Ovis aries: one gene and its partner. The protein of the gene in region 1 purifies or fractionates together with the protein of each later gene. This does not show direct contact. Links are inferred from orthologs where the notes say so. Each region holds a gene or a part of one and is shown on either strand. Other genes may lie near its edges.

Evidence for each region.
Region 2: the proteins of THEM4 (region 1) and AKT1 purify together in Homo sapiens (co-immunoprecipitation; 4 studies listed by BioGRID and IntAct, with this or other methods). This does not show direct contact. The link is inferred for Ovis aries from reciprocal best matches to the Homo sapiens genes THEM4 and AKT1.

The regions. Positions count from the first base shown.
Region 1 is NC_056054.1:101,864,489-101,880,028, reverse strand, and holds the start of THEM4 (acyl-coenzyme A thioesterase THEM4), read left to right. Parts: upstream 1-5,446; 5' UTR 5,447-5,503; coding exon 5,504-5,602; intron 5,603-15,540. UniProt on the Homo sapiens protein: Has acyl-CoA thioesterase activity towards medium and long-chain (C14 to C18) fatty acyl-CoA substrates, and probably plays a role in mitochondrial fatty acid metabolism. Plays a role in the apoptotic process, possibly via its regulation of AKT1 activity.
Region 2 is NC_056071.1:66,973,246-66,988,785, reverse strand, and holds the start of AKT1 (RAC-alpha serine/threonine-protein kinase), read left to right. Parts: upstream 1-7,536; 5' UTR 7,537-7,765; intron 7,766-10,429; 5' UTR 10,430-10,523; coding exon 10,524-10,569; intron 10,570-15,540. Other genes in the region: ZBTB42 (zinc finger and BTB domain-containing protein 42), read right to left, coding at 908-2,182. UniProt on the Homo sapiens protein: AKT1 is one of 3 closely related serine/threonine-protein kinases (AKT1, AKT2 and AKT3) called the AKT kinase, and which regulate many processes including metabolism, proliferation, cell survival, growth and angiogenesis.

The DNA of each region.
Region 1 (15,540 bases):
AGGAGATCCAACCAGTCCCTTCTGAAGGAGATCAGCCCTGGGTGTTCTTTGCAAGGAATGATGCTAAAGCCAAAACTCCAATACTTTGACCACCTCATGCAAAGAGTTGACTCATTGGAAAAGACTGATGCTGGGAGGGATTGGGGGCAGGAGGAAGAGAGCACAACAGAAGATGAGATGGCTGGATGGCATCACTGACTCGATGGATGTGAGTTTGAGTGAACTCCGGGAGTTGGTGATGGACAGGGAGGCCTGGTGTGCTGCGATTCATGAGGTAGAAAAAAGTCAGACACGACTGAGCGACTGAACTGAACTACATTGTAATTTTTACATATATACACTTTTAAGTTATCTGTATAAACTATCTTCTTATTTATTAACAGAAGTCATCTTGATGTATGGATTTGATTTATAATGTGCCACTTTCTGCACGCACCACGCGGAAAGACAATAGGATACTTTGGGCTCTTGCTGCCAAACAAGTATTGAAACAATTTGTGTGGGTTGTTAAAAGAAGTACTACAATTAACAGGACAATTTGGCACCATCCATGCCCCCAGGAAACTGGAGTACTGTATTGGAAAGGAGACAACTTAGGCAAACTGCTAAAATTACAGAACATCAACAGCCACCTCTTATGCCAAATCATCTTCAGTCTGAGTCATTCTTGCACACTTCATTTCTCAAATTCTGTCTGTCTCAGAATGGTATACCTTTACCCCCCAGTTAATGTTGTGGGTTTAAAGTACTGAGCTTTCTTTCCTACTGACAAACTGATGGAGAAGTTCATATAATCAAGGAAAACTGTTGTTGTTAAGTCACTCAGTCATGTTCAGCTCTTTTGTGACCCCATGGACTGTAGCCCGCCTGGCTCCTCTGACCATGGGATTTCCCAGGCAAGAATACCGGAGTGGGTTGTCATTTCCTTCAGGGGATCGTCACAACCCAGGGACTGAACCCTAGTCTCCTGCATTGGCAGGCAGATTCTTTATCACTGAGCCACCTGAGAAGCCCCAATCAAGCAAAATATCTGATTTTTATATAAAGATATTTTAAATAAAAATACTAATTGCTCACAAAAAAAAGTAGACTGAGGATCTCTGAACTTAGACCCAAACCCAAAGCCAAGTTTGTTTATCTCCGATAAATCTCTCCTGATGATTCCTCCAGTCCCACCTTTACTGTGTGAGTAGTTACAGAGCTGTGTTGGCAGAAAAACTTTGTGTACGGATGTTCTGGGGGTAAGCAATTCTAGTAACCCTTAAGACTTAAAACTAAGACTGTGGTATATTGGTGAATATTTAATAAGGTAAGAAAGGAAAGCCCTCAGTTGCAGTATCTGAATGAATACTCCCAGTCAGTCAGTTTTAAGCCACCACTGTGATGTGACCAAATGCAATATTTGGAAGGGGTGCCTAGTATTCCCACCATACAAATGTGACAGAGATAAATAACCTCAAGAGCACATACAACAGCAAAATATAATAAAAATAATTAAGCATTTTTTTTTACATTCTAAAAGAACTAATAATTTATTACAAAGCATAAATCAAACTATTGTTGGTATTTCATTATATTCCTAAAGAAATATTTAGTTTTGTACACCAGAATTAAAACAGCACTTATAATTATTTGTGGCTATGAAAAGGCAATCAACTTTCACTTAAAACTGTAATCAGTGATGAAATATACTTCAAGAACATAAACAGTTTTTAGTATCTAATACTGTCACCAGCGAAGCCCACAAACAATTCCCAGGAAATAAAATCTGGGTAGTAAAATAAAATCTAACCTTTCTCTTTTCCTTTGTGCTTAGTCTAGTTTCAGTTGCTCACACAGTGCCCCTCTGCAGAGATTTTACACCAGGCCCTTCAGACCAGAGTTCCTAGTGCAAAAAGGCTGTGCCCCTCACACCTCAGCTCCAGGAACCATATTTTTTTTTTTTTTTCCAGGAACCATATTTAGAAGCGCTGCAAGCAATATTGCAATTCAAGATAGCTATCAGGCCCAGGGGAGGTATGCTGCCCCTCCCCCACATCGCCTTCTGAAAGCCTGAGCTGCAAAAGTTGCGGGAGGTGCTTGCCAAGAACTCGCCCCCTCCCTGCTGACAAGAACCCTATGAAGCAGCCAGGCCAAACGCCTATGAGGAAGACCCAAGTACTCTAGAGCTGGAGCTCACACCTCCTTTTTTTATTTCCTTTGATTCTGAACCAGACTTGATCTCCTACTGGCTCCAAGATACCAGGCAGAAGAACCTTTATTGGGGACTGACTCAGGGGTGTTATAACAATACTTTCATTTTTAAAATATAACTTATTAACTGTAAGTTTATATAACTTACATTTTAAATAATGGAAGTGTTTGAGAACTGGCTAGCCAAATTCTTACCATTTTAACGAGTCTGTACAAGCCCCATTTCAACACATTACTAGCCTGGGGTCATTTTCTTTGCGAGCAAGATACAAGGTAACCTCAAATAACTTCTAATTAAGTGACTCCTACTGAAAGAGAAGTTCCTGGTGACAAGTAAAATTTGATATATTCTTTTTAATACAACAATGAAGAAATAAGAGGACAGGTACAGTTTAAAAGCATACAGTGTTACAGGGCTCCTCCCTTGGCTTAGTGGGTAAAGAATCCACCTGTAATACAGGGGACACAGGAGACCCAGCTGGATCCCTGGGTCAAGAAGATCCCCTGGAGGAGGAAATGGCAACCCACTCCAGTATTCTTGCCTGGAAAATTTCATGAACAGAGGGGCCCGGCAGGCAACAGTCTTCAGGGGTCACAAGGAGTCAGATAAGACTGAGTCACTAAGCACAAACCCACCCGCGGTGTTAGGTGGTGCCCTGGACTGGAGCTCAGTCATGTCTCCAGAGCTAAGAGGTGACTGCATCCTTCAGGTGTTGCTACAACTTCTATTTTTGAAAAAGTCAGACTTAAAGACTTTAATAGCTCTGCTCCCTTAAAGATGTGTGTGCAGGGGTGTGTGTGGGGGGCAGGGGGGGTGGTCTCCAAGAAAAATATTCTATTCCTACAATCTTCTGTGTGCACTCCTACCCGCCTGAGGGCTTAAGTCAGCTGCCGGCAGTGCAGTGCTAAGTCTCTTCAGTTCAGTTCAGTTCAGTTCAGTCTCTCAGTCATGTCCGACTCTCTGCGACCCCATGAATCACAGCACGCCAGGCCTCCCTGTCCATCACCAACTCCCGGAATTCACTCAGACTCATGTCCATTGAGTCAGTGATGCCATCCAGCCATCTCATCCTCTGTCATCCCCTTCTCCTCCTGCCCCCAATCCCTCCCAGCATCAGAGTCTTTTCCAGTGAGTCAACTCTTCGCATGAGGTGGCCAAAGTATTGGAGTTTCAGCTTTAGCATCATTCCTTCCAAAGAAATCCCAGGGTTGATCTCCTTCAGAATGAACTGGTTGGATCTCCCTGCAGTCCAAGGGACTCTCAAGAGTCTTCTCCAACACCACAGTTCAAAAGCATCAATTCTTTGGCGCTCAGCTTTCTTCACAGTTCAACTCTCACATCCATACATGACCACTGGAAAAACCATAGCCTTGACTAGATGGACCTTAGTCGGCAAAGTAATGTCTCTGCTTTTGAACATGCTATCTAGGTTGGTCATAACTTTTCTTCCAAGGAGTAAGCTTCTCTTAATTTCATGGCTGCAGTCACCATCTGCAGTGATTTTGGAGCCCCCAAAAATAAAGTCTGACACTGTTTCTACTGTTTCCCCATCTATTTCCCATGAAGTGATGGGACCAGATGCCATGATCTTCGTTTTCTGAATGTTGAGCTTTAAGCCAACTTTTTCACTCTCCACTTTCACTTTCATCAAGAGGCTTTTTAGTTCTTCACTTTCTGCCATAAGGGTGGTGTCATCTGCATATCTGAGGTTATTGATATTTCTCCCAGCAATCTTGATTCCAGCTTGTGTTTCTTCCAGTCCAGCGTTTCTCATGATGTATTCTGCATATAAGTTAAATAAGCAGGGTGACAATATGCAGCCTTTACGTACTCCTTTTCCTATTTGAAACCAGTCTGTTGTTCCATGTCCACTTCTAACTGTTGCTTCTTGACCTGCATACAGATTTCTCAAGAGGCAGGTCAGGTGGTCTGGTATTCCCATCTCTCTCAGAATTTTCCACAGTTTATTGTGATCCACACAGTCAAAGGCTTTGGCATAGTCAATAAAGCAGAAATAGATGTTTTTCTGGAAATCTCTTGCTTTTTCCATGATCCAGCGGATGTTGGCAACTTGATCTCTGGTTCCTCTTGCCTTTTTTAAAACCAGCTTGAACATCAGGAATTCATGGTTCATGTATTGCTGAAGACTGGCTTGGAGAATTTTGAGCATTACTTTACTAGCATGTGAGATGAGTGCAATTGTGCGGTAGTTTGAGCATTCTTTGGCATTGTCTTTCTTTGAGATTGGAATGAAAACTGACCTTTTCCATTCCTGTGTCCACTGCTGAGTTTTCCAAATGTGCTGGCATATTGAGTGCAGCACTTTCACAGCATCATCTTTCAGGATTTGAAGTAGCTGAACTGGAATGTCATCACCTCCACTACCTTTGTTCGTAGTGATGCTTTCTAAGGCCCACTTGACTTCACATTCAGGATGTCTGGCTCTAGATGAGTGATCACACCATCGTGATTATCTGGGTCATGAAGATCTTTTTTTTACAATTCTGTTGTGTATTCTTGCCACCTCTTCTTAATATCTTCTGCTTCTGTTAGGTCCATGCCATTTCTGTCCTTTATCGAGCCCATCTTTGCATGAAAAGTTCCCTTGGTATCTCTAATTTTCTTGAAGAGATCTCTAGTCTTTCCCAGTCTCTTCAGTCGTGTCCAACTCTTTTGCGCCCCCATGGACTGTAGCCCACCAGGCTCCTCTGCCCATGGGATTCTTTCTCCAGGCAAGAATACTGGAGTGGGTTGCCTTGCCCTCCTTCAGGGGATCTTCCCAATCCAAGGATGGAACCTGCGTCTCACGTTTCCTGCATTGGCGGGCGGGCTCTTTACCACTAGCGCCACCAGCGGCGGGAGGGAGAACTATTAGGAAACAGCCCAGAATTTGGCCCTCTAGCAAGAGATGGGGAAAAGACCAGGGAATCCTCACCAGCAGCGCTTAGGTGCCGGGGCTTGAGGGCTGAGCCATAGCCGCGGACCCGCACATCTGGCGTCCTCGCCCTCCCCAGGCCGCGCGGCCGCTGTTGCCGCTCTCCCCTCGGTCCAGTGGCCTTCACAAGTCTTCACAGTTTCCCCAGAAAAGGTTCAGGCGCGGCAGGACGGCTAAAGGGTTTACCCGACGCGGCGCCTGCCTTCAGGCCCCTCCCTCCCACTGCCCCTCCGAGACACGTGTCCCCTCCCCCCGGCGCGCCAGGCCCCGCCCTCACCTCGCCTCAGTTAAAGAGGAAGAGCAGCGGGTGGGTAGCTGCGTGAGTCAGCTTTTACCTCAGCCGGCGCGAGCCAGCTCCCTCGCTTCTGAGAGCCATGCTGAGGAGCTGCACCGCGGGACTTCGCTCGCTCTGGGCCCTGCGCGGCCGGCGGGAAGGCGCGGCCCGGCTATCGGCGGATCTGCAACCCGCGCGGGTGAGTCCAGGTTAGCCCGGCAGCGAAAATGGGCAGAAAGATAGAACTTCTTCGTCAGGAACTTAGCCTGTGATAAAGGGTATGCTGCTGCTACTGCTGCTAAGTCACTTCAGTCGTGTCCGACTCTGTGCGACCACATAGACAGCAGCCCAGTAGGCTCCTCTCTGCCTGGGATTCTCCAGGCAAGAATACTGGAGTGGGTTGCCATTTCCTTCTCCAATGCAGGAAAGTGAAAAGTGAAAGTGAAGTCGCTCAGTCGTGCCCGACTCTTAGCCACCCCCATGGACTGCAGCCTACCAGGCTCCTCCATCCATGGGATTTTCCAGGCAAGAGTGCTGGAGTGGGGTGCCATTGCCTTCTCCGAATAAGGAGTAATGTTCAGCTGTTTATCCCTTTCCTCAGCCAACTGACCTCAGAATGAAAGCTAACATTAGCTCCAAAGGGTATCAGTATTAACAAGGTCACCGGATCTTTCAGTCTTGAAAGTCAAGCCATAAGAAACGACAGGAGGGTGACACGGTTTTGAGGCAGTGTGCAGGATGCTTGAATCGCGTCAGCAAGTCAAAGTATACCACTACCACTAATAAAGAAGGGTTATGACTTAAGGAAGGTCACGGGCTTAAGAAAACACGTGGTAGAGTTGGAATCTGAACCTAAGCAGTCTGGCAAATAACCATTACCTTATACCCTCAGGAGGATCAGTTTCCTCAGGTTTAATACCTGATACAAGATTTACATGAGATAAGGCTATGTAACAGCGGTGTCTGGTGTTCAGTTCAGTTCAGTTCAGTTCAGTCGCTCAGTCGTATCCGACTCTTTGCAACCCCATGAATCGCAGCACGCCAGGCCTCCCCGTCCATCACCAACCCCCGGAGTTCACTCAGACCCATGTCCATCGAGTCAGTGATGCCATCCAGCCATCTCATCCTCTGTCGTCCCCTTCTCCTCCTGCCCCCAATCCCTCCCAGCATCAGAGTCTTTTCCAATGAGTCACCTCTTCACATGAGGTGGCCAAAGCACTGGAGTTTCAGCTTTAGCATCATTCCTTCCAAAGAAATGTCTGGCGTTAGTATTAAATAAATATTGTTGTTGTTAAGTCTCTAAGTCCTGTGACCCCATGGACTGTAGCCCGCCAGGCTCCTCTGGCCATGGGATTTCCCAGGCAAGAATACCGGAGTGAGTTGCCATTTCCTTCTCCAGATCTTCCTTATCCAGGGATGGACCTGCATCTCCTGCATTGGCTTCTTTACCCCTGAGCCACCAGGGATGCCCTAAATAAATATTGCCTGTTGGAGAACTGTTTCCTCCTCTATGTACCCTTAGTACTTTTCCCATTGTTTTTGTTGTTCAGTCCCTGTGGTATCTGACTCTTTGGGACCCCATGGACTGTAGCACACCAGGCTTCCTTGTCCTTCACAATCTCTCTCGGTTTGCTCAGACTCATGTCCATTGACTTGATGATGCCATCCAACCATCTTGTACTCTGTTGCCCCCTTCTCCTCCTGAATCTTTCCCAGGATCAGGGTCTTTTCCAATGACTTGACTTTTGCATCAGGTGGCCAAAGTATTGCAGCTTCAGCTTCAGCTTCAGCATCAGTCCTTCTAATGACTATTCAGGGTTAATTTCCTTTAGTATTGACTGGTTTAATCTCCTTGCTGACCAAGAGACTCTCAATAAATAAATATTGCCTGTTCTTGTATCCCTATGTTTTGATTCATTGATATATTCAATTAATATTAATCAAGCACTAACAATATGCCAGACATTGGTTTCTAATGCTGTAAAGATGAATAAGAAACAACCCTTTCAGAGAGCTCAAGTCTAATTTGGGAGAAAGAAATGAAAGTGCAAAATTTTTAAATAAATGTACTATGGGAAGTACTAAGGGTCCATAGAGGAGGGAACAACTCTGTTTTGAGCATGAACTAAAAGCTGTTGAACCTTGTTTTTATTTATTTTTTCAACTTAGGCATTTAGGCATTAGTATCATAAGTCATTCCCATGTTACAGTTTGAAAACACCAATACTAAGAGAACAGAGCACTGGATTCAGATAAATTATCTTTTAGTTATTTTTAAGTTATCTTTAAGCACATGAAAACTTTAAAAACAGGTGCAGGTGGAGGAGAGGAGACTCAGCAGGCTTCCTGAAAGGACAAAGACAAGAACAATAACATTTCACTTCAGTATAGCAATCCAAGATTTATCTACTAGAAAAAATAAGATTTTCTTTCTTATCATTTTCCACTCACCAATTAATACAAATATTTGCTGCCTCTCGCCAGCTATATCTAAGGAATATCTAAAAATAATAGTTTATAAGGCTATTGACTTAATTCTAGATAATTAAATTAAATTGTACTGCTTAGATTGCCCTCTCTGAAGGAGATCAGATAGGTGAAAATAATCATTTTAGGCCCTTATAGGACACACACAAATGGATTCCATTCATGATAGTTAAAACCATTTGAACATCTCTGAAAATGTTAAGTTTAAGAATTTTGAAACAATTGCTATACAGTACTTATTATTAAGCAGTCTACTTGAATTGAATAATGAAATAATATTCACCTTGGAAGATTCAAGGTAACTAATAATAATTTACAATAAAATTAGCTTCCCCAATTATTTTAATAGTAAAAATAATAAAGACAAGTAACATATTAAAATATTCAAGTCATAGTAAACAGTGAAAAATTTCAAGATGAAGTTTTTAGCAAAAAGAAAGGAGAGGCTGGTACCTTTTTATTTATTTGTTTGTTTGTTTATTTTGGTTGCACGGGGTCTTTGCTGCTGTGCCCAGGCTTTCTTGGGGCTTTTTCCTAGTTGTAGTGAGCGGGGGCTACGCTTGGTTGCAGAGCTCATGCTTCTCATTGCAGTGGCTTCTTTTGTTGTGAAGCACAGGCTCTAGTGTGTGTAGGCTTCAGTCATTGCAGCACACAGGCTCAGTAGTTGTGGCTCCCAGGCTCTAGCATGGGCTTAGTAGTTGTGACGCACTGGCTTAGTTGCTTAGCAGCATGTGGGATCTTTCTGGACCAGGGATCAAACCCATGTCCCCTGCATTGACAGGCAGATTCTTATCCACTGTACCACCAGGGAAGTCCAAGGGTGATACTTTTAATAGAAATATTAATTAGTATTGTAATAGGATTCTAATTATATTAGCTGTAGGGAATAAGTAATAATTGATGAAATGAGGATGTTTTTATTGATATTTATTTCCTCGATTACTTAAATTTTTCACTAGAAGTCTAAAAACTTGGGGTTGAGTATACAGAAGAGCATTAAGTATGGGCCATTTATAAGAGCAAAGACATCAAAAGAGTATTTTGAAGTTGTAGGCTCATTCCTAGGCTTATGCAGAACATACTTCTCTTTTCAACTTTGGGTTGAAAAATATCTACAAGACTGGTTGGGAGCCTCCAAATAGGGCTATCCAATAGTCATGTTTCCTTCTTCTGGGCCTTTTGCCTTCTGCCAGTTCTTCTCAATTTTCTAGAGACAGGAAATGATACTTCATTCCATTTATCACAATCTTAAGGCATTCAGGATTATCTTGAATAAGTGGTTCCGTTTGTACTGTTTTACTTAAATTCTTTGTTATAAGTGGAAACCTGACTTTGACAAGAAAAAGTGAAAGTCACTCAGTTGTGTCCTACTCTTTGCAACCCCATGGACTGTACAGTCCATGGAATTCTCCAGGCCAGAATACTAGAGTGGGTAGCCTATCCCTTCCCCAGCAGATCTTCCCGACCCAGGAATAGAACTGGGGTCTCCTGCATTGCAGGCGGATTCTTTACCAGCTGAGCTACCAGGGAAGCCCATAACAAGGATGTCAGCCATAAATGGCTGGCGATTAGGTTCACCGTATTTTAACCACCAGACTGTGTGCTGTGTGCTTAGTCACTCAGTTGTGTCCGACTCTTTGCGACCCCATGGACTGTAACAGGCCAGGCTCCTCTGTCCATGGAATTCTCCAGGCAAGAATACTGGAGTGAGTTGCCATGCCCTTCTCCAAGGGGTCTTTCCAACCCAGGGATCCAACCTAGGCCTCCAGCATTGCAGGTGGATTCTTTACTGTTTGAGCCATCAGGGAAGCCTGATCCTCTGCTCTCACAGTCAGAGTGTCCTGGGTGAGGAGATGTGTAACTCGCTTGGCATCAAGTTGCAGACATTCATCAGTTTTAAACAGTTCAACAAAATGCTGATGAATAAAGTCATCTGCTGTTGCTTTCAATTCGGGACAGTCTAGACACTCTGCTAGTACACTTAAACTGAGACAGTTTGAAGCATCAGCTTGTTCTTTCAAAAAATCAACACACAAACCTCCCTGGGGTCCAGTGGTTAAGAATCTGCCTGCCAATGAAGGGGACATGGGTTTGACCCCTACTCAGGGATGATTCCACATGCCGTGGGGTAACTGAGCCCATGCTCTGGAGTCCACAAGCTACAAGTTCTGAACCCACATGCCACAACTATTGAAGCCCAAGCACCCTGGATCCCATGCTCCGCAACAAGAGAAGCCATCTAAATGAGAAGCCCTGCTTACCTCAGCTAAAGAGTAGCCCCCACTAGCTGCAACTAGAGAAAGCCCACATGTAGCAACAAAGACCCAGCACAGCCAAAAAAAGAAATCAAATTTTCTTCACAGGTTCAATCTGGTACTAGTTTGCTGCATCTAACAAAGACTGAACATTGTTGCTATTCACAGAAATTCTCATGGTATAAGCAAATTCCACAAGTTATTTGATAACCTCAGGTGCAGCATCTTTGAGTTCTGTTTCAAAGGTCTTTGATTCAAGCATGTGAGTTGTGAGCATTAAGTTTTAAAAAATTAACTGGCTGCACCAAGGACAACATCATGAGGTATCTTTCTTTCCTGGACCATAAGAATCACATCACACAATGTTTTCTTTGTATTTATGTAGCTTGTCAACAAGGTTCTGCAGTCAGTTTCTCCCAGCATGATTTCAAGATGACCCTGGGTATAAATTCCCGGGTAGACTGTAGATTCAACTATAGTTGAGTAGTGAATTTAGATCACTGTTTCTGAATGTTATTCATGATACCCATGAAGCCAGCCAGTTTGGCAAATTTCTTCTCACCGGGGACTCTGTTTAACAAATACTGAGGCTGAGAGAGAGCCGCTGCAATGCCCTGCTCCCCAATGGGCAAGCAGACCACTGTAGTAGAACAAGGCCCAACCACCCCCTCAAGCTCTCCAGAGGCAACAACATGGGCTTTACGGCATTTCCCTTAGAACCAGAGCCCAGCCAACTTACTTTTAAAGAATAAAGAGTGCAGATCCATTATTAATCCTGTGTCATCACTAACTCAGTGGACATGAACTTGAGCAAACTCCAGGAGATAGTGGAGGACAGAGGAGCCTGGCATGTTGCAGTCCATGTGGTCATAGAGTCAGACATGACTTAGTGACTGAACCACACCACCATCTTATACGTTGGAAAAGAAAAATGTCCTGTGCTAATCTCACAACAAAGATAGATTCATTTCTTTAATTATATGTTGGTGTCTGGTAGTCTATGTTGAGAATATGTAACAATATTTACGGGCTTTGTAACAGTAGTATTTACAGGCTTTACAAATCATGCCTCTTTTGGTTCAGTAACTTAATCTTAAAAGGAGATACATTAATAAGTTGTAACTTATGCCCCGCTTGAAACACACATAATCAAACATCTAGCAAGACCTTTCCCCTATTCAGGGCAACAAAAAGTAGTGATTATCCCTCATGCACAGAGTCTGTGCTGTGAATTTATAGGTGCCTTTACTTCCAAGTATCACTTAGTTCTCATCTCCTAGAACTGAAACTTTCATTATTTTTATTTCTCACAATATCATAGTGTTCATCTGTGGTCCCAAACTCAACATTCCCCAAACTAAAATTAATGGTTCTGCTCCTACTTTCCACCTCCTGACATTCACACAAACATTAACAAAAACCTCCTCTTTCCTTTCCTCTGTCCACTCCAGTCTTCAAACCACAAGTCAGGAATTATCCAAAACTCTTCTACTTGCTCTTCCCCCATGATCAGTCAGTCTCTACAACCCTTGGTCCCAATATCCTAGATATCTCTTAAATCTTTTTCATTCCTTTCTAGTTCAGTTTCTGACCATATTTCCCCTGGATCTCTACAACAGTCTTTTAACTGGTTTCCTTACCATTGCTTCTCACCTTACAATTTATCCTTTACATCAGAGGGAGCTTTCTAAAACCTCAGTTCATGTTACTGCTTTGCTTAAAACACCCCAAGGCACTCCATAATGGAAAAAAAAGTACTTTGCCACTCAGTTGGCATGTATTTTTCATGAATCTTTAAAGACTCCTTTCCTTTAAACAGCTTCATCCTAGGCAATAACACGAAATCAAAGTGTGATGCACTATTTATGTCCTTTTATAATATTCATTTAAAAATACACGTGTTATTGTTGTTCTGCCACCTAAAATTGTCTTTCCTATTGACCTTTTGAAACATTAACCTAGAAGATGAAATCTAAGCTTTCGTTAAAGCCAAAGAGCCACTATAGTGTCACCCCTCTTTTGTTTTGCCATCCCCATCTTGCTACTGTTCTCTTTGTACCTTTTAGCCATAAAGGCTGAAATCCTAGCAGTTGCGCGTATTTCTCTGCCTTTGCTTGGAGCAGCCTGCCTGTTGTTTCTTTAGTGAACTTTTCATCCTTTAGAAAACATCTATATCAGTTCTCATCTTTTTGAAGTTTTCCCTAAAAGTCACTTCTTCTGTGTCTGTATCTACTTCTGTTGTAGCATTTTTCACACTCAAGGCTACAAGCACTCGAGGACTGGGTCTAAGTCTTCTCTCTTTGTTACCTGTACCTGGCCCAGAACCAGATCATATAGTAGGGCTCAAAAAAGTTTGTTGCAGGACTTTCCTGTCAGTCCAGTGGCTAAGATTCCACACTTCCACTGCAGGGGACATAGATTCCATCCCTGGTTGGGGAACTAAGATTCCACATACCATACAGTGTGGCCCTAAAAGGGAAAAACAAAAAAAGTTTGTTACATTTAGCTGAATCCCCTCAGACTTCAAAGTTAAAATCAGACAGGAGAAACTCCTAAACTCATTCTATGAGGCCGCCATCACTCTGATACCAAAATCAGACAAAGATGCTACCAAAAGAGAAAATTACAAGCCAATATCGTTGATGAACTTTGATGCAAAAATTTTAAACAGAATTGAACAACACATTTAAAAGATCATACATCATGGTCAAGTGGGCTTTATTCCAGGGGTGCAAGGATTCTTCAGTATATACAAATCAATGTGATACATCATATTCACAGAGTAAAAGATAAAAACCATATGATCATCTCAACAGATGATGAGAAAGCTTTTGATAAAATTTAACACTCATTTATCATAAAAAAAGTATTCTCCAGAAAGTAGGCATGGAAGGAAAATATTCAACATAATAAAGGCCATATATGACAAACCCAGAGTAAACATTATTCTCAACAGTGAAACCTGAAAACATTTCCTCTAAAATCAGGAACCAGACAAGGGTGCCCACTCTTACTACTATTATTCAGCATAGTTTGGGAAGTCCTGGCTGCTTCTCAATCAGAGAAGAAAAAGAAATAAAAGAAATCCAGGTTAGAAAAAACAGAAGTAAAACTCTTATTATTTGCAGATGAAATGAGACTATACATAGAAAGGCATAAGGATGCCACCAGAAAATTACTAGAGCTAACCAATGAATATAGTAATATCGCAGGATATAAAATTAACACGCAGAAGAACTCCCTTGCATTCCTATACACTAACAATGAAAAATCAGAAAGATAAATTAAGGAAACAATCCTATTCACCATTGCAACTAAAAGAATAAAATATCTAGGAAAATCTACCTAAAGAGATAAAAGATCAGTATGCAGAAAACTAACAAACAGTGATGAAAAAAAATCAAAGATGACACAAACAGATGGAGAGATATATCATGTTCTTGGATTGGAAGATTCAATATTGTGAAAATGACTATGCTACCTGAAGCAATCTATAAATTCAATGCAGTTCTATCAAACTACCAATGATATTTTTCACAGAACTAGGAAAAATAATTTTACAATTTGTATGGAAACACAGAAGACCCTGAATAGCCAAAGTAATCCTGAGACTGAAAAATGAAACTGGAGCAATCAACCTTCCTGACTTCAAACTATACAACAAAACTACATCAGGACAGTATGGCATTGGAACAAAAACAAATATAGACCGATGGAACAAGATAGAAAGCCCAGAAATGAATCCACCCACCTATAGACACCTTATCTTTGACAAAGGAGGCAAGAATATACAATTGAGAAAGGACAATATCTTCAATAAGTGGTGCCGGGAAAACTGGACAGCTACATGTAAAACACTGAAATTAAAATACTTCCTAACACCATACACAAAAATAAATTCAAAAGGAATTAAAGACCTATATGTAAGACTAGAAACTATAAAACTCTTAGAGGAAAGCATAGGCAGAACACTGTCTGACACAAATCACAGCAAGATCCTCTATGACCCACCTCCTAGAGTAATGGAAATAAAAACAAAAATAAATGGGACCTACTTAAAAGCTTTTGCACCGTGAAGGAAACTATAAACAAGGTGAAAAGACAGCCCTCAGAATGGAAGAAAACAATGGCAAATGAAACAACTGACAAAGGATTAATCTCTAAAATATATAAACAACTATTGCAGCTCCATACCAGAAAAACAAACAGTCCAATCAAAAAGTGGGCAGAAGACCTGAAGAGATATTTTTCTAAAGAAGACATACAAATGGCTAATAAACATGTGAAAAGATGCTCAACATTGCTCATTATTGAAGAAATGCAAATCAAAATTACAATGAGGTGTCACCTTTCACTGGTCAGAATGGCCATCAAAAAAAAATCTACAAACAGTAAATGCTAGAGAGGGTATAGAGAAAAGGAACCCTCTTGCACTGTTGATGGAATGTGAATTGATACAGACACTATGGAGAACAGTATGGAGGTTCCCTAAAAAAACTAGGAATAAAACTACCATATGACCCAGCAATCAGGCATATACCCTGAAGAAAACCATAACTGAAAAAGACACATGTACCCTAATGTTCACTGCAGCACCATTTACAATATCAGGACATGGAAGCAACCTTGGTGTCCATCAACAGATGAATGGATAAAGAAGCTGTGGTACATGTAACAATGGAATATTTCTTAGCTATAAAAAGGAATGTATTTGAGTCAGTTCTAATGAGGTAGATGAACCTAGAGCCTATTATACAGAGTGAAGTAAGTCAGAAAGAGAAAAATATGTAATAACACATATAGATGGAATCTAGAAAGATGGTACTGATGAATCTATTTGCAGGGCAGCCAAGGAGACACAGACATAAAGAACAAACTTGTGGACGCAGTAGAGAAAGGAGAGGATGAGACAAATTGAGAATAACATTGCAACATATACATTATCATATGTAAAATAGATAGTGAGAATTTGCTCTAAGATTCACGGAGCTTGAATCCATGCTCTGTGACAACCTAGAGGGATGGGATGGAGTGGGAAGTAGAAGGGAGGTTCAAGAGAGAGGGAACATATGTATACGTATGGCTGATTCATGTTGATCTGGGGCAGAAACCACAATATTATAAAGTAATTATCCTCCAATTAAAAATAAATATTTTAAAAAGTCAGGTGGAAGAGCCCAGGATCAAGGGAGTCATTCTAATTCCTAAAAGTCTTCTATTATCTCTATTGCACTGGTCCATAAAAGGATGCTAGAACTGATCAAACCTAGAGTTTCCTATTTTGAAGGAAAACTATAGATGAGGTAAACCCAAATTCACAACTCCAAAGCTTACACATGCTATTCTATCTCTCAGTTGAAAAGTATTGGTCAATACACACTAATTTATGACTAAT
Region 2 (15,540 bases), on another chromosome or scaffold:
GGGAGACCGCCATCAGGTGGACAGATGACCTTCAGGGTCAGGCCTGCCACTGACCAGGAATGCTCCAGGCAGGGGGCTGCGTTCCCAGCCCCGCTCGGCCGCCCCCTGGGGGCGGCCAGGAGGCATACTGGTCCCTGTGCTCAGGCAGGGGAGTGGCACGGCCCAGCGACCACGTGCCAACATCTGGCAACCTCCAAAGGCTCCTTCTGTATCTAGAGAAATGCTTCCGAACCCCCCTCTCCGCCCTGTGTTGCGGTGTGGGCAAAACCAGAGCTGTGGAGGGCCTGCCTCCCTCCCCAGCGCCCGGAGCTCCGCAGCCCTCTGCTCCCAGCTGGCTCTGCTGCCACCCGGGTTCCTGCTGGGGCCGCACCCCTGGGACACCAGCTGTGCCCTGAGGGCCCTGCTGGCGCTCACTGTGCCTAGGGCGCCCTGCAGGGGTTCCCACTGCCACCCACCAGGAGTGGTCTGTTCCGTCCGAGCTCCCGTTGGGACTCACACTGACAGCATCTGTGAGCGGGCATCCTTCACCGAGCACAGTGCCAGGCTCACAGGGTGCCCCCGAGCCTGCTCATGGGGTGGTCAGGAAAGCCTGGGAGGAGGGTCAGCTGGCCTCCTCTCGCTGGGGAGCCCGGGCCCTTCGGACCCTTCGGACCTTCCTTGGGACAGGCTGGAGAGAGGAGTTCACAGGCTGGACGGAGGAGTTCAGTGTCTGGTCAGGGCAGATCCAGGGACAAGAGTGAGTTGGAACGGAGGGCCAAGGCTGGAGGACTGCCCCGGCGGCTCCCAGTCCGTCCAAGTCTGGGGCCATTTTCCCAGGGCAGCAGGGTTCCTTCTGCAGGCTGGCCCAGCCCTGGGGGCTTCTGCTGAGCTTCCGACCTCACACTCCCTCGGCCCCTCCGTCGGCCCTTCACACCAGCAGGGACTTGACCAGGCCACAGTGGAACTTGCGGACGTGGCGGTAGAGGTCCCCTGACTGCGTGAAGCGGCGCTCGCACCAGCGGCAGGCGTGCGGCTTCTCGCGTGTGTGCACCACGGCGTGGCGGCTCAGGTTGTGCGAATACTGGAAGCTCTTGCCGCACTGCACACACGTGTAGGGCTTCTCGCCCGAGTGAGTGCGCTCGTGCCTCTTCAGCGTGTACGTGCAAGAGAAGGTCTTCCTGCAGAGCGGGCACGTGGGTGCCACCCCGTCGGGCGAGAGCCGCGTGCGGCCGCCGTCCCGCTCGCGGAAGTGGGCGCTGAGGTGTGGCTGTAGCACGTGGGCGCCCGGGAACAGCTTGCCGCACAGCGGGCAGAGGCAGAGGCGCCCGGTCGGCCGCAGGGCGGCCTCCAGCTCCCCCCGCTCCGCCTCGGGCCCCGGCGCCCCCCTGCCCACCCCGCGGACCGGCAGCGGCCCCAAGCCCCCGGCCAGGGGCTCCGCCGCGGGAACACCGGGGGGCCGCAGGGGGCTGTGGGCGCTCCGAGGGCTGCTGCTTCCGTCCTCCCGCTCGGACTCTGAGTCTGGCTCCTCCTTCACCACCGGCTGGGCCCCGGGCTGCTTCTGGCGGCAGGGGGCGGTCTGGAGGGCGCAGGGTGGGCGGACGGGCGGCCGCCTCGGGCCGGGCTTCAGCGACAGGTCCAGGGCCCCGTCTGACTCTCCAGACGCCTGCCAGGGGGGAGGTCCTGGTGCGGGCGGGGGGCAGGTGGCCTTTGGTCCAGCGGGAGGGAGCCTGGCCTTCAGAGAGGCTGGACAGGGCGCGGGGGCCCAGGCAGACAGAGGGCCCGGGGGCCGGCCCGGGGGCCCTGCCCCAGGGGCGGGCGTCTCCGGGGGCAGCGCGCGCTCCCTCTCGCGGAGCCGGCCCTTGCAGACCCTGACGATGTCGCACATGCGCAGGTAGCTGGCGGCGGCCAGGACGTCCTCGACGGGCAGGCTGCGCAGGTCCAGGCGGCCCTCGTACATGAAGTCCAGCAGACGGCCGAAGGCAGGCGCCGTGACGATGTCGCCGTTGAGCCGCACCGTGTCGCGGCTGCCCGCGGGCCGGTCCCTGTAGAAGAGATGGAAGTAGACGCTGCACGCGGCCAGCACGGCGCGGTGGGCCGGGAAGCGCGCGTCGCCCACCAGCACGGTGCAGTCGCACAGGAAGCCCAGCTCACGCTGCTGCCTCAGGCGGCCCAGCAGCCGCCCGCCGTGCTCCGGGAACTCCATGCCGCCGCGGTCATCACCTGGGCACAAACGGGACGCCCGTGAGCGCGCCTGGAGACGCCGCGGCCGCCGCTCGCCCCCCAGCCGCCCGACCAGCCCTTCCCGAGTGCGGGCAGCGCGGGGAGAGGGGCGCGGGGCGCCGCGCGCGGCTGCCCGCCCGGAGCCTCCCTGGGCACCTGCCCCGAGCAGGAAAAACTCGATCGAAAGTAAACAGGAGCTGCTCCGCCGCGGGGGCGGGTCCCGGGGCGCCAGCGGAGGGGGCCGGAGCCGCGCGAACCTGCGCGCGTCTCCACCCGGGGCGCCCCTCCCCGCGCGGGCGCCCCTGAACTTCACTCTGGGGCGGCAGCCGGCCGCGTCCCCCGACGCCCGAGTCGCCGCGCCGCCGCCGCCGCCCCTGGTCCGCGCCTCCGCGCCGCCTCCAGCTGCCGCTCGGCCCGCCAGATGCCGCCGCCGCCGCCGCGGGGCCCCATTTAAGGCAGCGCGACCGCGGGGAGCGGGCCGGCGGGCGGGGCGGGCAATGCGGGGCGCCCGCCCCTCGCGCTCACCTCCACCGCCCCGAGCTCCTCTCCGGCCGCGGCCCGCGCCGCGCGCCCTCCCCGGTGCCGCCCCTGCGCGTGCGGAGCTGCGGGCAGCGCGCCCCGGCGGGGAGGGCGCGGGGACGGGGAGGGCGCCGGGCGGGGCGCGCTCCAACTTGGCTGGCCCGGCAGCACTCGCCGCTTGCCCCGCCCCGGAGAGAGCGAAACTCGGGGCGGGGGCTGGAGGGGGCGGGCCGAGGCGACTTCCCGGAGCGGCGGAACCGCTGAGGTCACCCACGCCGCCCCTTCTCCGTCCGCCCCGCCCGGCCCGGCCCCGCGCGCCGCCATCTGGGGCGCTGGGGTGGGAGGGGACGCGGGACGCGGCGGGGGAGGGGGCTCTCTCGCGATACTTGCCGCTTCATCCTCGGGGTCCCCCCCATGGGGTCCCAACTGCGCCCGTCTGTTAAGAGACTCCTTCCGAGGACCAGCTCCTCTCCCAGCCAGCGCCGGCGCCAGGCTCCCGAAGGCGCAGCCGGGTCGCGCCGCCACCTCGCGGGGTGCCCGCCCTGGGATGGAGGAGGGGGCGGGGGTAGTCGTACATATTGAGAAGATGACACCCCCTTTCCTTGAAAGCCTCGTATTGAATTTAATTTAGCTGGGCCCCTTTTCCAGACGCTTGGGCGGGTTCTCAGCCTTGGTATTCCAAAACTGGGCACTCTCATCCTCTCAGCACACCCAGCGAGGCCTCTGATGGGAGCCAGGTGCACGGAGCTGTGAGCCTTGGGGACCGTGGCGGTCCCAGAAGGCGTCATGGGGTGAGGGGACCATCGCGGTGATGGAGAGAGAGGGAAATGCGCCGAAAGCCCAGAGCCGGGCCGCGGGCTGCGAAGGGGGAGGAGGGAGTCCTCAGGGAGAGGTGACGCCCCCGAAGGGGCTGAGCTGGCCTTTCAGGAGCAAGGCCACGCGAAGGTGTGAGGGACACCTAGGTCCTGGGTTAAGGAAGAAGCCTGAGAAAAGCAGAGAGCAATGAGCTTGGAGAGGCTGGGACCCCCAGGGCGGGAGGTGACTGTTGGCTGGCAGTCTTTTCCCAGCTGCCTTTACAGAGCAGGGTGGAGGCGCTGTGGACCGCTGCTCAGCTGTCCCAGCAGCCCTGCTGGTTTAGTGAGGTGCTCTGATTATCACACTGGTTTTGGTTCGGAAGGCGCCAGGGCCACACAGCAGGCAGTCAGTTGTTGAACCAGGATCCAAGTCTGGCAGCGTCTCCTGCGTTCTCACCTGTACAGCCCAGAACCCCGGGAGACAGAGGGTGGGCAGGCCTTGACTAGAAGTGGGGGTGGTGTTTTGGGGTGCTTCATTACAAAGGCAGGACCCCAGCCAGCCGGGTATACAATGGCAAAGAGGCAGCAAGACGGGGTGGGGAGCCCATGCTCTTGGGAGGCAAGGACCCCTGGGGGGAGTTCCTGGCTGTGAGATGGGGTGTGGGGGTGGGGCTCCAGGGGTCCTATTTAAACTCTGGTGGGCAGAGGCCCTGGGGCCCACCACAGTTAGGATTTCAAGTCTGAGCGAAGGAAAGACACATTCTTATACTAAAATCCATTACTTGTTTATCTGAAATTCAGATTTCACCGGGCAGCTTGCATTTTTATTTCCTAAATTCAGCAGTCTTTGGCTTGGTACCCTGGACCTGCACTGTGCTCACAGCCAGCGAGAATGCCCTGGCTCCCAGAGCCCGGGCACCCTGGGGGCCCTTTCCTGAGGAGGCCAGCCCCTTCCTTCACTTCCACGCCCCGCCCCCACCCCAGCTTGGGCAGCTGATTTCAAGTCAGGTCAGAGTGAACCCAGAGGGGACTGCCTCTCGGAGTCTTGCTCACAGCCCTGCCTCTACCCCCTTCCAACCTTGGGCATGACTCTTAACCTCTCCATACCTTAATATTCTCATCTGCAAAAGGGGGAGATTAACTGGAGGGCCCAGCACACGGCAAGACCCTGGGGCCTTTCGTGAGTCCTCAGGTTCCACACACGTCTCCCCAGTCCTGTCTCTGCTCCAGCAGCAGCCCCTGGGAGTGGGTCTTCTTGATCACTCCCACTCAGGTGTCCCCAAGCCCACGATCTCCTCTTGGGGCCTCCGCCTTCTCCAAGGAGCTCCCGTGTCATGTGGCCTTGCCACCCCGTGCTCTCCACTGGATCTTTGCTGCTGAGACTTGGCATGGCACAGGCAGGGGGTGTAGTCGTGTCTCTTGACTGAAAGCAGGGCAGAGGGGTCTGTCCAATGCCCACGGTGCCCCCATCCTGATCCTGACTGCTCTGACGTGCCCACCTGCCCAGTCCGGGCACACAGCTCCCCAGCCAGGCCGGGAGAGAAGGCCCTGGGGTGGGCAGAGTGTCCTGGCCTGCCCTGCCTGGCTGGTGGGACAAAGGGCTCCTTGGGGCCCAGACAGAGGTCTTGGGCACGAAGGGGGTCCACGCGGCAGCAGGGGATGTGGCCAGCGAGAGGCTGGGGGTGTGCTGGGTAGGGGTGGCTAAGGGAGGAGGGACATCGCTCAGGGGAGGGGACAGGGAGAGAGGCCCCTGTGTTTTCCTGGTCCGAAGGTCTCCAGTCTTCCTGGAGTTACATCCTCCTTCGGGCCCGGGAGGGGCCACCCCAGGCCACCTGAGAGGGCACCCGGCAGCCAGCAGGCCTGGCCTGTGGGTCCCCGCTGTGGCTGGCGAGGCCTGAGGCACAGGGATGGCAGGAGGCTGTCGCAACGGTGGGGGCCGAACGTCGCTGGACATGGCCAGCCAGGCAGCCATCTGGCCTGGGAGCTGCCTCAAGGCCCCGCCCTGCAGCTGCTGCAGAGACCAGGCAGCCCGGGCCTCGGGCCCCCGAGTCCTGCCCGAGGGCCGGCAGCTGCAGAAGGTGACCGGGCCGCAAGGACCCTGAGCTCTAGGACGGGCAGGTGGCCACCCTCCCCGGAGGCTGGTGCAGCAGTTTTTGTGGCCAACATCTGCCTCGGGGGCTCCTGAGCGGCCCCAGCCTCAGCCAGGGCAGCGACATTCGGCTTGGGGGGCAGCGGGCAGGAGGTGTTCTAGAGGAGAGGGGCTCTGCTCACCCTCCGGAGGCCAGAGGAGGGCGCTGGGCCTGCCCGCAGAGGCTCCAGCCGCAGGGCCGGCTCCCAGCTATGCTGCAGGGCAGGGCTGTGGGGCTCACCGCCAGGACACGGGCCAGGCCGAGGAGGCCTGACCACCACAGAGACACTCCTGGCCAAGACGCTGTCTGTCTTCCGATGGCGAGGACGGCTGCAAGTCACCACAGGGCCCAGGAGGGGGCGCCCTCTCGGGCCCCCAGGGGTTCCCTGCCTTCTCCTTGGCATTGCCAGCCCAGGATGGGGCGCCGGTGCGGAGGAAAGCCCTCCTGGGAGAATGGTGGGCGGGGGTGGGGGAGATGGTCCTAGACGGGGCCCAAGGGGAGGGTTGGGGGGAGCGAGTGCTTGTCAGGCACCCAGCAGCCCAGACCGGTCAGGCCTCCCCCCTGGTCCCTGCAGACGAGGGCCTGGGGGTGGAGGTGCAGCGCTGGGGCAGCTCGCTGGGGCGGGAGGGTGGGGGTGGCGAGGGCAGAGGCCTAGAGGTTTTCATCCTCTCCTGGAGGAGCAAGTGTCCCTGGTCCTTCTCTTTCAGCCCCGAGAGGGAGGGACAGCTGCGGACGCTGTCCTGGGCGCTCAGCGGCTTCCACCTCTGACCCAGATGAAGTGTCTATACCCCACCCCTCCCAACCAGGCTAAAACTCTGACTCTGGAGGAAGAACAAAAATGTCCTCCTCCCCCCAAATACACACCAATGCCAGGAAGGGAGCCCCCAAGTCTTCCTTTCGTGAAGGGATCGCCGTCAACTTGGAGGCCTGGGGGTGGGGGGAGGGGCAGCTGTTGGAAAAGGTTGTGCACAGCAGGGCCCAGGGAGGGGTGGGGTGGCGGCTTGTCTGCAGTGCCATGCTGGCCCCTTCACTGGCCCCCAGCGCCCTACAAGTGCCCAGGGCCCCTGGGGACATCAGGGAGGACCCTGGTCTGCCTCAAGCCGTCACAGCCCTTTTCTGGAGACTGCCCTCCTGCACCCCCTCTGGGTGTCTGTACTGACTCAGGGGGGCCCTCCAGGCCAGGTGTGCTGAATGGCGACCCCCTCCCCCGCCCCCACCCCCACCCCGGGCCCTGGGCCCTCTTTCTTCTTGGTCCCCACGTGAGGTCCCTGTTCGCTTTTGTAGCTGCCAGATGTCTGCGTGTTCCTTCTGGGGAGGGGAGCTTCTGGAAGACCCCCACCAGGAATGAGGGCCCAGCCCAGGGCCAGACCCAAGCAAGCCTTCAGCCCACAGACAGATGGCTGCCCACCGGCCAGCCGCCTGCATGCACCCCCCCCCCCCCCCACCCAAGGGGCCTGCGCTAGGCAAAGGGCCTTGGACTGGGTCTGTTAGGCCCACCGTGGCCCCTCGAGCCACCAGCTCCCCAGCTTGGGGCATATTCTAAAAGTCAGACTAACCCACACTCCAGCCCTGCTCCCGCCGGAGGGAGTCAGAAGCAGGCGGCTCAGCCCACGCCGGCCCTGTTAACAGGGTCGAGGCCGGACTGGTCCGAGAAGTGCGGGCTGGCCGGACAAAACTGGGAAACCGAGGCCAGGGAGGCCGCGGCCCGGAGGCAGGCCCCGGGGAGGGGCGGGAGCGGCCGGGCTCCGCCGGCGGCCCGGCCCGGCCCCAGGGACTCCCGCCGCGCGCTCCCGCTCCCCGTGGAGGGGACGCCCCGGGCGGCGGAGGCGGATGTGGGCGGGCGGCCGGGCGGGGCGGGCGCGGGGCGGGGAGAGGGCGGGCCGGCGGGGCCGAGCGCGGCGGGCGGGCGGCCGGCCCAGCGCAGCCGCGCAGCCAGCGCATCCCGAGGAGCGAGCCGGCGGCCGCGCACGAGCTCCGGGCCCGGCGGCGCGCGAGGCCCGCCCGAGCAGCGCCCGCCGCGGCCTCCAGCCCGGCCCCGGCCGGCCGGTCCGCGGGGATGCGGAGCAGCGGGCGCCGGAGGCCGCGGCCCGGCTAGGCCCGCGCTCTCGCCGGACGCGGCGCCCGGTGAGTCCCCGCCCGCCCGCCGCCCGCCGCCGGGGCCCGGATTTCCTCCCCGCGGCCGGGCCGCTTTGTTCGCGGCCGCCCGGGCCGGGGCGCGGGCCGCGCGCGGCCGGAATGGAGGCGCGGGAGCAGGAAGTGGCCGAGAGAGGCCTGGGCGGGGAAGGCGCGGGCCGGGCGGGCGGCGGGGCGGCGGGCCTCCGGCCCCAGCCTCCCGCATGACCTTGGGGAAGCGGCTCCGGCGGGCGAGGCCCGGGCCGGGGCGGAGGGGTGCGGCCGCTCGCCGGGGTCCGTGGCCGGGGGTCCGTGGCGGCCGAGGGCTCCCCGGGCGCCCGGCCAGCGGGGTCCCGGCGCACACTAGGTGCTCGGGGGCCCGGGGAAAAGACTCGACCCGGCTCTCGTTCAAGTTTGTGGGTGGGCCCTTGGAAGGGACTTCATTTTCCCATGGACAAAAAGTTGTCCGTGGTGGCTGGGTGCCTAGGCCCTCCCACAAAGGACTACAGCCTTCCTGGGCCCTGAGACTGGTTCTGGAGCTGGGTGGGTTCGCGAGTGCTGCCCACCCATCCCCGAGGCTGGGGCTCCTGCCCCCGGTTGGGGGGATCCCGGGGCAGCTGGTGAACTTGGTGGGTGGGATTGGGTCCTGGCAGTGCTGGTGGACAGAGCTGGGGTTGTGGGCTTGTGCTCTGGGGCCAGAGATGCCCCCCCGGCGGTCACCCCTGGCCCCCTCCCACCTTGCTCAGGCCACTCCTAGCTGCCCTGGGCCTCTGTTTCAAATGAAGAGTGGGGTGCACTGGTGGGGCTTGGTCCCCTGCCCCCTAGCTGAACATCTAGTGTATAAACTGGTGTTTTGGAGGCCGAGGGAGGGGGCCTTTCGGAGCAGAGATTATTATTTTTTGGAAGGTCGTGACTTGAACAGTCATAGCAGTAACTCACCTTCGTGGTGAAGGCACTCCCAGGACGGAAGCGCAGAAGCAGAGGTCCCCTCGAGCCGCCCGTCCCGAGGGGAGGCAGCCCCGGCCCCGGCGGTGTGCACCTTTCTGCGCACAGGCACACCGCCCTGTGTGTGCGCGCAGACAGATTTTTACACGCGGGGCTCTCCACAGCTGTTTGGCCCTGTCAGCAGCAGACCCATTCAGCCCCGTGGGGGGGGGGGGGCCCACCCGTGCAGAGGTCTTTGAGTCCAGCCCTCTGCCTCCAGGCCACGCCCACTCGAGTGTCACCAGAGCCCCCTGTGCGAGCCAGGCTGGCTCTGAGTCCAGGCCCTGGTGGTCCCTCCTCCAGTCTTCCTTGCCACGCCTGCCTGTGGGCCCGCTGACGGGGGTCAGACACAAAGCAGAGCGTGGGTCCTCCTGCCCTTCTAGGTTTAGCCCAGGATGGACAGTGCACAGTGGCTTTCTCCAGGAGCCCAGGAAGGTGGGCTGTGGGAGATGCGTGCAGGGAGTGTGTGTAGGAAGAGTGTATATGTAGGTATATACCATGTTGGAGATACTTAGGGGTGTCTGCCCAGCTTGAGGGTCCCAGAGAGGAGTCTTTCCAGGCCTACCCTCCTGAGTGCCCAACTGGAAGGGTAGCGGAGGACTGCTTGTGGGGAGAATGCTGTTTCCCAGGATGCTCAGAACCAGTGATGTGGGCAGTGGGTTTTGAGGGGTGCCTAGGAGTTCATCCAACAGGGGAGCAGAGGGGTGGGCCACACAGGATCAATGGCCAAAGGGTCTGCTCACGAGGAGGCTGCTGGTGGGCCTCCGAAGGGCTGGTGCCGGGCCTCCGTGTTTGCACAGTCCCCCCATCCCTGGTTTGTTGCCTGCTGAATGCTGTAATTATGGGTCTGTAACCACCCTGGACTGGGTGCTCCTCGCAGACAGGACTCGTCTGAACCTCTCTTTGTCCCCAGTGCCCAGTGCTGAGCCTGGCAAAACCAGAGATGCCTGGTCCATGTTGGCCGAATGAATGAACTGGTTCAGGCCGGCGGGGCACTGAGGTTTAGGGGGGGGCCTGGGGTTTCTCTGGGGTGGGTTTGTGAGGGGTCGTGTGTTGCCCTGGAGGGCTCCAGTTCGTCTGCAGCAGCCGCCTGCCTGCCTGGCCCTGCCTTCATGCTGGAACTCCTCTGCTTCCCAGTCTGGGACGGAGAGGAGGAGGCCTGGGTCCTTCTCGGGAACGCCCACCTTGGGGCAGGAGCACCATGGACGGGGAGACCTGGGTACCCTCGCCAGGGGACTGCGGAGGCCAGGAGGTGTGGGCCGAAGCAGTCAGGGGGACTGCCTGGAAGAGAGGGCTTCTGCTGGGTTGGCAGGTTAGGGCGGCTGGGATATACCATGCGGGGCCTTTTGGGGACAGGGGTCATTTGTACAGAGGTCGGGGGAGGTGGGAATGGTCAGAGACGGGGACAGTGAGCTCTGAGGGCTTTGGGGTCCGGGAGGGGTGGTGGCGGGGGGGCTTACAGCCTGGGGGCAGGGCAGGCCTGGCCCTGGGAGCCGTGTGAGTGACTTGGGATCTGGAGCCGGGGTGGGAAGGCCATGTGTGGGGAGGCGGCAGCTCTGAAGGCTAAGGGGGACAGGCCACGTGGGAAGATGCGCCTGAGCTGAGACCCTGGGCGCCACGGGCCTCTTCGGTTCCCCTGAGGAGTGTTCCCCGGGCCCAGCACAGCCTCATACCTCCCTTTGCTTCCTACAGAGGCTGTCGGCGGCCCGCTGGGTGCGGGGTGGACCCCGCCGAGAGGCGCGAGAGTGAGGTCTGGGCCGCGTTGGCCCGCGGGAGCCACAGCAGCATGGACGACGTGGCCGTCGTGAAGGAGGGCTGGCTGCACAAGCGAGGTCAGTGCCCGCAGGCCGGCCCGGCTCAGGGCCCCGAGTTGGGCCCGTGGCTCCTCAGGGGCTGGAGGCGGTGTGGGCTGTGGCTGCTGGACCAGCAGGGCCTCCCTGAACCCTGGGAGCAGCCCAGGGGCACGTCCGGGGCCCGACATCCCTGCGGCCTGGGGGACACAAGCCCCCGCGGGGCCTCCTGGCTGGGAACGTGCACCCCAGGCCGGTGTGCAGCCCGTGGAGCTGCCGCCTGGCCCAGGCTGCGGGCGGGGAGAACCACCCGCTTTCCTGGAAGGCAGCAAGGACTGGGGCCTGTCCAAAGCCTGGCGCGCTGGCGGCCCAGGGCACTGCCCGAGGGCTCCTGAGGGCAGGGCAGGGCTGGCGGGCCTGGCCCGGGGCCAGTCCCGGCTGGGCTGTGGGCAGGAGGGGGCTCCGCACTGCCCGGGGCCTGGCGTGCCGCAGGCTCACGCTGGTGCTGCCAGGCCCTGGCCCCTGCCCGGCCTGCCCCCTGCTCGCCCATGTGCCCAGGGAGGGGCTCTCGGGGAGCTGGTGGGATGGGAGCTTGTCCCGGGCCCCTCGCCTTGCGGCCCTGCTGCCTCGCTGCCTCCTGTCCCATAGAGGCCGGACAGGCCCGGGGGGCAGGACAGGTCTGGGGTCGAGGTGTCCGAGGCGTTCAGGCAGGGCGTGCTCTCCTGCTCCAGGTCGGGGGCTGGTTAGTCACCACCTGCTCCCCCAACTTCCCCTTCCTGCAGACCGGCTCCAGCTCTGGCCGCCCCACACCAGCTAGCCGCTAGCCCCCACTCCTCATGCATGCCCTCCAGGGACGGTGTCCCCTCTCCACCTCAGGACCCCGCAGGACACTGGGAGGGGACCTCAGGCACAGGTGGGCAGTTGGGGAGCTGCAGCGAGAGCGGGTGTTCTGGGACGCTCAGGAGCCGCCCAGCGGAGCAGGCTGGGAAGCTCGGGAGAGGTGGAGATGAGACCCCAGGCGCAGCAGGGGCGCGAAGCAGGGGTCACGGATGTGGTCAGTGTGAGCTTTCAGAGCTCGCTCCAGCAGCGGTCAGGGGCACAGTGCTTGGCCTCTAGACGGAGGTGGGGCAGCTGCAGGGGCCTGTGGTCCGTGGCCGGCCCCCCAGGGCTTCCTGCAGCGGCTGGCCCTCTGGGTCCCCTCCCCCAGCATTGACCCTTTCCTGGTCTCCCCGCCCCCCCATCCCTGCCAGGTCCCGCCCTGTCTCCTCACCCCGTCGCCCTCTTTGGGGTCAGGCCTGAGCCTGCCTGGGTCTCTGCCGTCCCCTCTGCGCCTCGCGGAAGCGCAGGCACACACTGGGGTCCAGGGCCTCTGAGCCCTTGACAAGCGTTGGTCGACTGGCTGACCAGGGACTGACCTGGGAGATGCCTGGGGCTTGGGGCTGCCGGGGCCCCCAGCCCAGCTCCTGGGGTGTCCACTGGCCAGCCCGGTTTGGGTGGAAGCGCCCCTCTGACGCCTGGGTGAGTCTGAGTGGGCCACTCGGGGTGTGTGCCTTCTGGAGGGGCGGGGGCATCCAGGCAGCGCCCCATCGCCATGCCCTTCTCCACGGGCAAGTGTGTTGCGTCCTCAGGCCTTTGTGTCCCCGTCTGTGCGGTGGGAGCAGTCGGGGGCGGGCCCCCGGACCCTGGGCGGAGCGCAGCGAGCCTCAGGCCTGACAGAGGTCCTGCGTCTGCCCTGCCTCTGGCTCTCATGCCCGCTGGGTGGTGTGCGGCGTGGCAGAGGTCCTGCGTCTGCCCTGCCTCTGGCTCTCATGCCCGCTGGGTGGTGTGCGGCGTGGCGGGGCACGCTGGCCCCTGTGGCCCAGGAGGGGCCGTGCCGCGCGCAGGGGATGCCCGCGCGCAGGGGGTGCCCGGGTCCTCACCCACGGCCCCCCCGGGGACCCTGGTGTCACTACCAGCTTGTTCGCTAATCTGTGCGTCTTCCACAAATCTGTTCTTCCCCGAAGTGTGGGCTCTTCCTGTGTGCTGCGCTTTGAGGTGAAAGGGCAAAAGGGGCAGAGGTCACAGCCGGGATCGGGGGATCCAGAGTGACCCCGATTCGGGGCTGGAGGGCTGTGGTGGTGCCATTTCTTGGGCTGCGGGGGGGACTTGTGTTTCCGTCCTGGGGGTCCGCAGGTGGGTGGCTGTGTGCGCCCAGCCCCTCAAAGTGGGCGGGAGGGGTCGGTGTGAGCCGCTCCTGTGTGCCCCCCCACTGCCCTGCGCCCACCTCTCAGGACTGGCTGGAGGAGGACGTCAAGGCCCCCCGTGTGGTGGCTCTGGGTGGAGTGGGGGCCCGGGCCGGGAGTGGGCAGGGGGCTCCACCTTCCCCTCCCCACCCCCACTGCCAGGGATCTGATTCTGAGTTGGAGGGGGGGTTCTGACTGTCCTCCAGCTCCTCACGGACCCCCGAGTGCCCCCACGGTGCCTCTTGTTATGGAGGTCAGGGGGCTGCTGTGGGCCCGTGGGCAAAGGGCAAAGGCACTTTAGGAGCCAGCAGGTGTCGGCCTGAGAGCTGAAGGGCAGGCAGCGAGGGTCTGTGTAGGACAGATCCCCGGGCCCGGCTCCTGCCCCCGTCCTTCAGGGGCTGCACCGCCGACTTGTGTGCTCTGGCTCGGAGCAGCCGACCGGGCAGGGGAGAACCTGCCTGGCAGCCAGGGTCCGCCCCACCCTGCGGCACCCAGGTGCGGCCTCCAGGCCTCCGGGTCCCCAGGCGTCCCGGGGAGCCTGCGGCCAAGCTGCTAGAGGCTCGGAAGGACAAAGGTTGGGCCAAGTGGGGCTGCAGGGACCGTGGGCAGAGCTCCTGCGAGACAGCTGCATGTCCTGAGTACGAGTGGATGTCCCAGAGGCCGGCGGCCTCCCTGAGCAACGCGGGATGCCACGAGTGGTGGGCAGACACGCCCCGCCGTGGGAGGCCGCCCCGCGTGGCAGGCGTCTGCCTCTCAGCTCCAGCCGAGGCGCTGGGGAACTGGGCTCAGGGAGGCTCACGGAGGCCGCTTTGCAAAGATTTGGCCTTTTATGTGTGCTCTCTGACTTTTGAAGGTGGACAGCTTGAAAAACCAGCCCTCCTCCAGGAGGCAGGGCTGCTTGGACTTGGCCTGCAGTCCAGCAGGAGCCCCCACGCCGCGGCCTGGCAGGCAGGGGCCGAGAGGCGGGCAGAGAGCCGGCCTGGGGGCACGGGGTTCACTGCCTGGGAGCCTTCCTGGGTCTGGCCCCCACTCCCCCAGTGAGGTCCACCTGGCGAGGCCCTGTGTTCCTCGGGCTCGGGGCAGGGGGCAGGGGGCAGGGGGCAGGGTCTGGTCCTGGTCCTGGGGGCGCCTCAGGCCTGCCTCTGTCCCGACCCTAGCCAGTGGCTGGCCCAGACCTTTCCCTGGTCCAGGCTCTTGTCAGCTCACTGAGCTGCTCCCAGGCCTCCTGGTGGGGAGTGGGCTTCTGGGCCGTGCTGGCCCCTCCCCTGCCTCCGCCTCAGTCCTGGCCGGTTCCTGCTTCTGGCCGCCACCCTGGGCTTCACCTGCTCCCTGCACTGGTCCCGGGAGATGGTCGTCCCACCTGCTGTCAGCCTCCCACCCACCGCAGGCCTGACTCCCCCCCCACAGGGTGGGGCCGTGCGGGTGAGCCTGGCTCTCTTCGAGGAGGCCGCGGTTCTGCTGGCCAGAACACGGGGCTCGTGGGACCCGCAGGGGAGGGGGCTGCCCCCCTGTGCTGTGCGCCCCGGGCCCGGCTGAGCTGAGACCCCGGGCTCCAGTGTCTGGCCCGGCGAGGCGCGCCCAGCTTCCCTCCGCATCTCGCCACGGGGGCCATCTCGCCACGGGGTCCGTGGCTTTGGCCCTGGTGGTCCCCTTGGGCCGCACGGAGCAGACAGCCAACCCCAAGGGTGGGAGCTGGTGCCTGGGGGCGGGCTGTTCGGGGGGGGGGCACCTCCAGCCCGCGGGTGGTGGCGACCTGGGGCCCGTGGCGTGTGGCTGAGGCTGAGGCCCGCGGGCCGGTGTGGGGCCGAGTTTCCTGTTTTGTGAGCAGGCTGAATTTTCCCTTCAAAACAAACAACAAAAGAGGAAGCTTGGGCGTCCTTGCGCTGGGGGTGAGGGGTCATCCCCGCCCCCGCCCCGGGTCCCCAGACTCAGACGCTGCCCCTGTCTGCTTCCTGGCCCCATGCTGGCGGGCGGGGAGGGCCCTGGCCCCTGGGAGCTCAGCAAGCGCCCCTACAGGGGCGGGGAGGGCGTCCCACCCGCCGTGGTCCTCTGGGGCAGCCTGGGCCGGGTCGCGTCAGGCCAGTTCCTAGAAGTGCAGTGGGGGTGCGGGCATCCCCCCTGGCCAGGCTCGTGGCCCGCAGCTGCCCCGGGGGCCTCGCGTGACTGCTCCCACGGGGTGGGTGCCCTTGGCGTCTGCCCGTGCACCCCCGTTCAGGTCCCTGGCCCAGACCTGGCCCCCTCTGGCCGCTTGGCAGAGGGCCCCGGCTCCGGCCTGTGTGCGCCCCACGCAGCATGCTCCCCCTGCTTTCTCGTCTGCGTCACGCGGCTCCCTAACCGTCAGAAATAACGCACTCCTGTCTCAGGAATGTTGGAATTGATGGGGGTGCTGGTTACGTGTGCTGTTGCTCCTGCCAACCTTGGGGCTGAGGGCCCTGGGGCGCTGGGTGTGTGCCCAGGACCAAGCCCCCTGAGCCTGGGGCTTTGCCTGCGGGGCCTGCCTGCCCCTGGGCCTCAGCGGGATCCACAGGGTCAGGGGCCCCCTACCAGGCTGACCTCGAGGAGCCCTTTGGCCGAGAGGATGTGCTGCTCCGCCCCGGGCTGGGGTGCAGGATGCCTGGCGAACCTGAATGGGGGGCTCTGAGGAACTTGGAGGGGATGGAGCCAGGGTGGGTGTGGCTGGGAGTGCGAGGAGGCAGGGCCGGGCGTGGGGAGGATGCAGCCTGCTGGTCACAGGGTGGGACGCCGGGAGAGGGGGCCGCTGTGACGGGCTCCACATTGGGGAGTGGGCAGC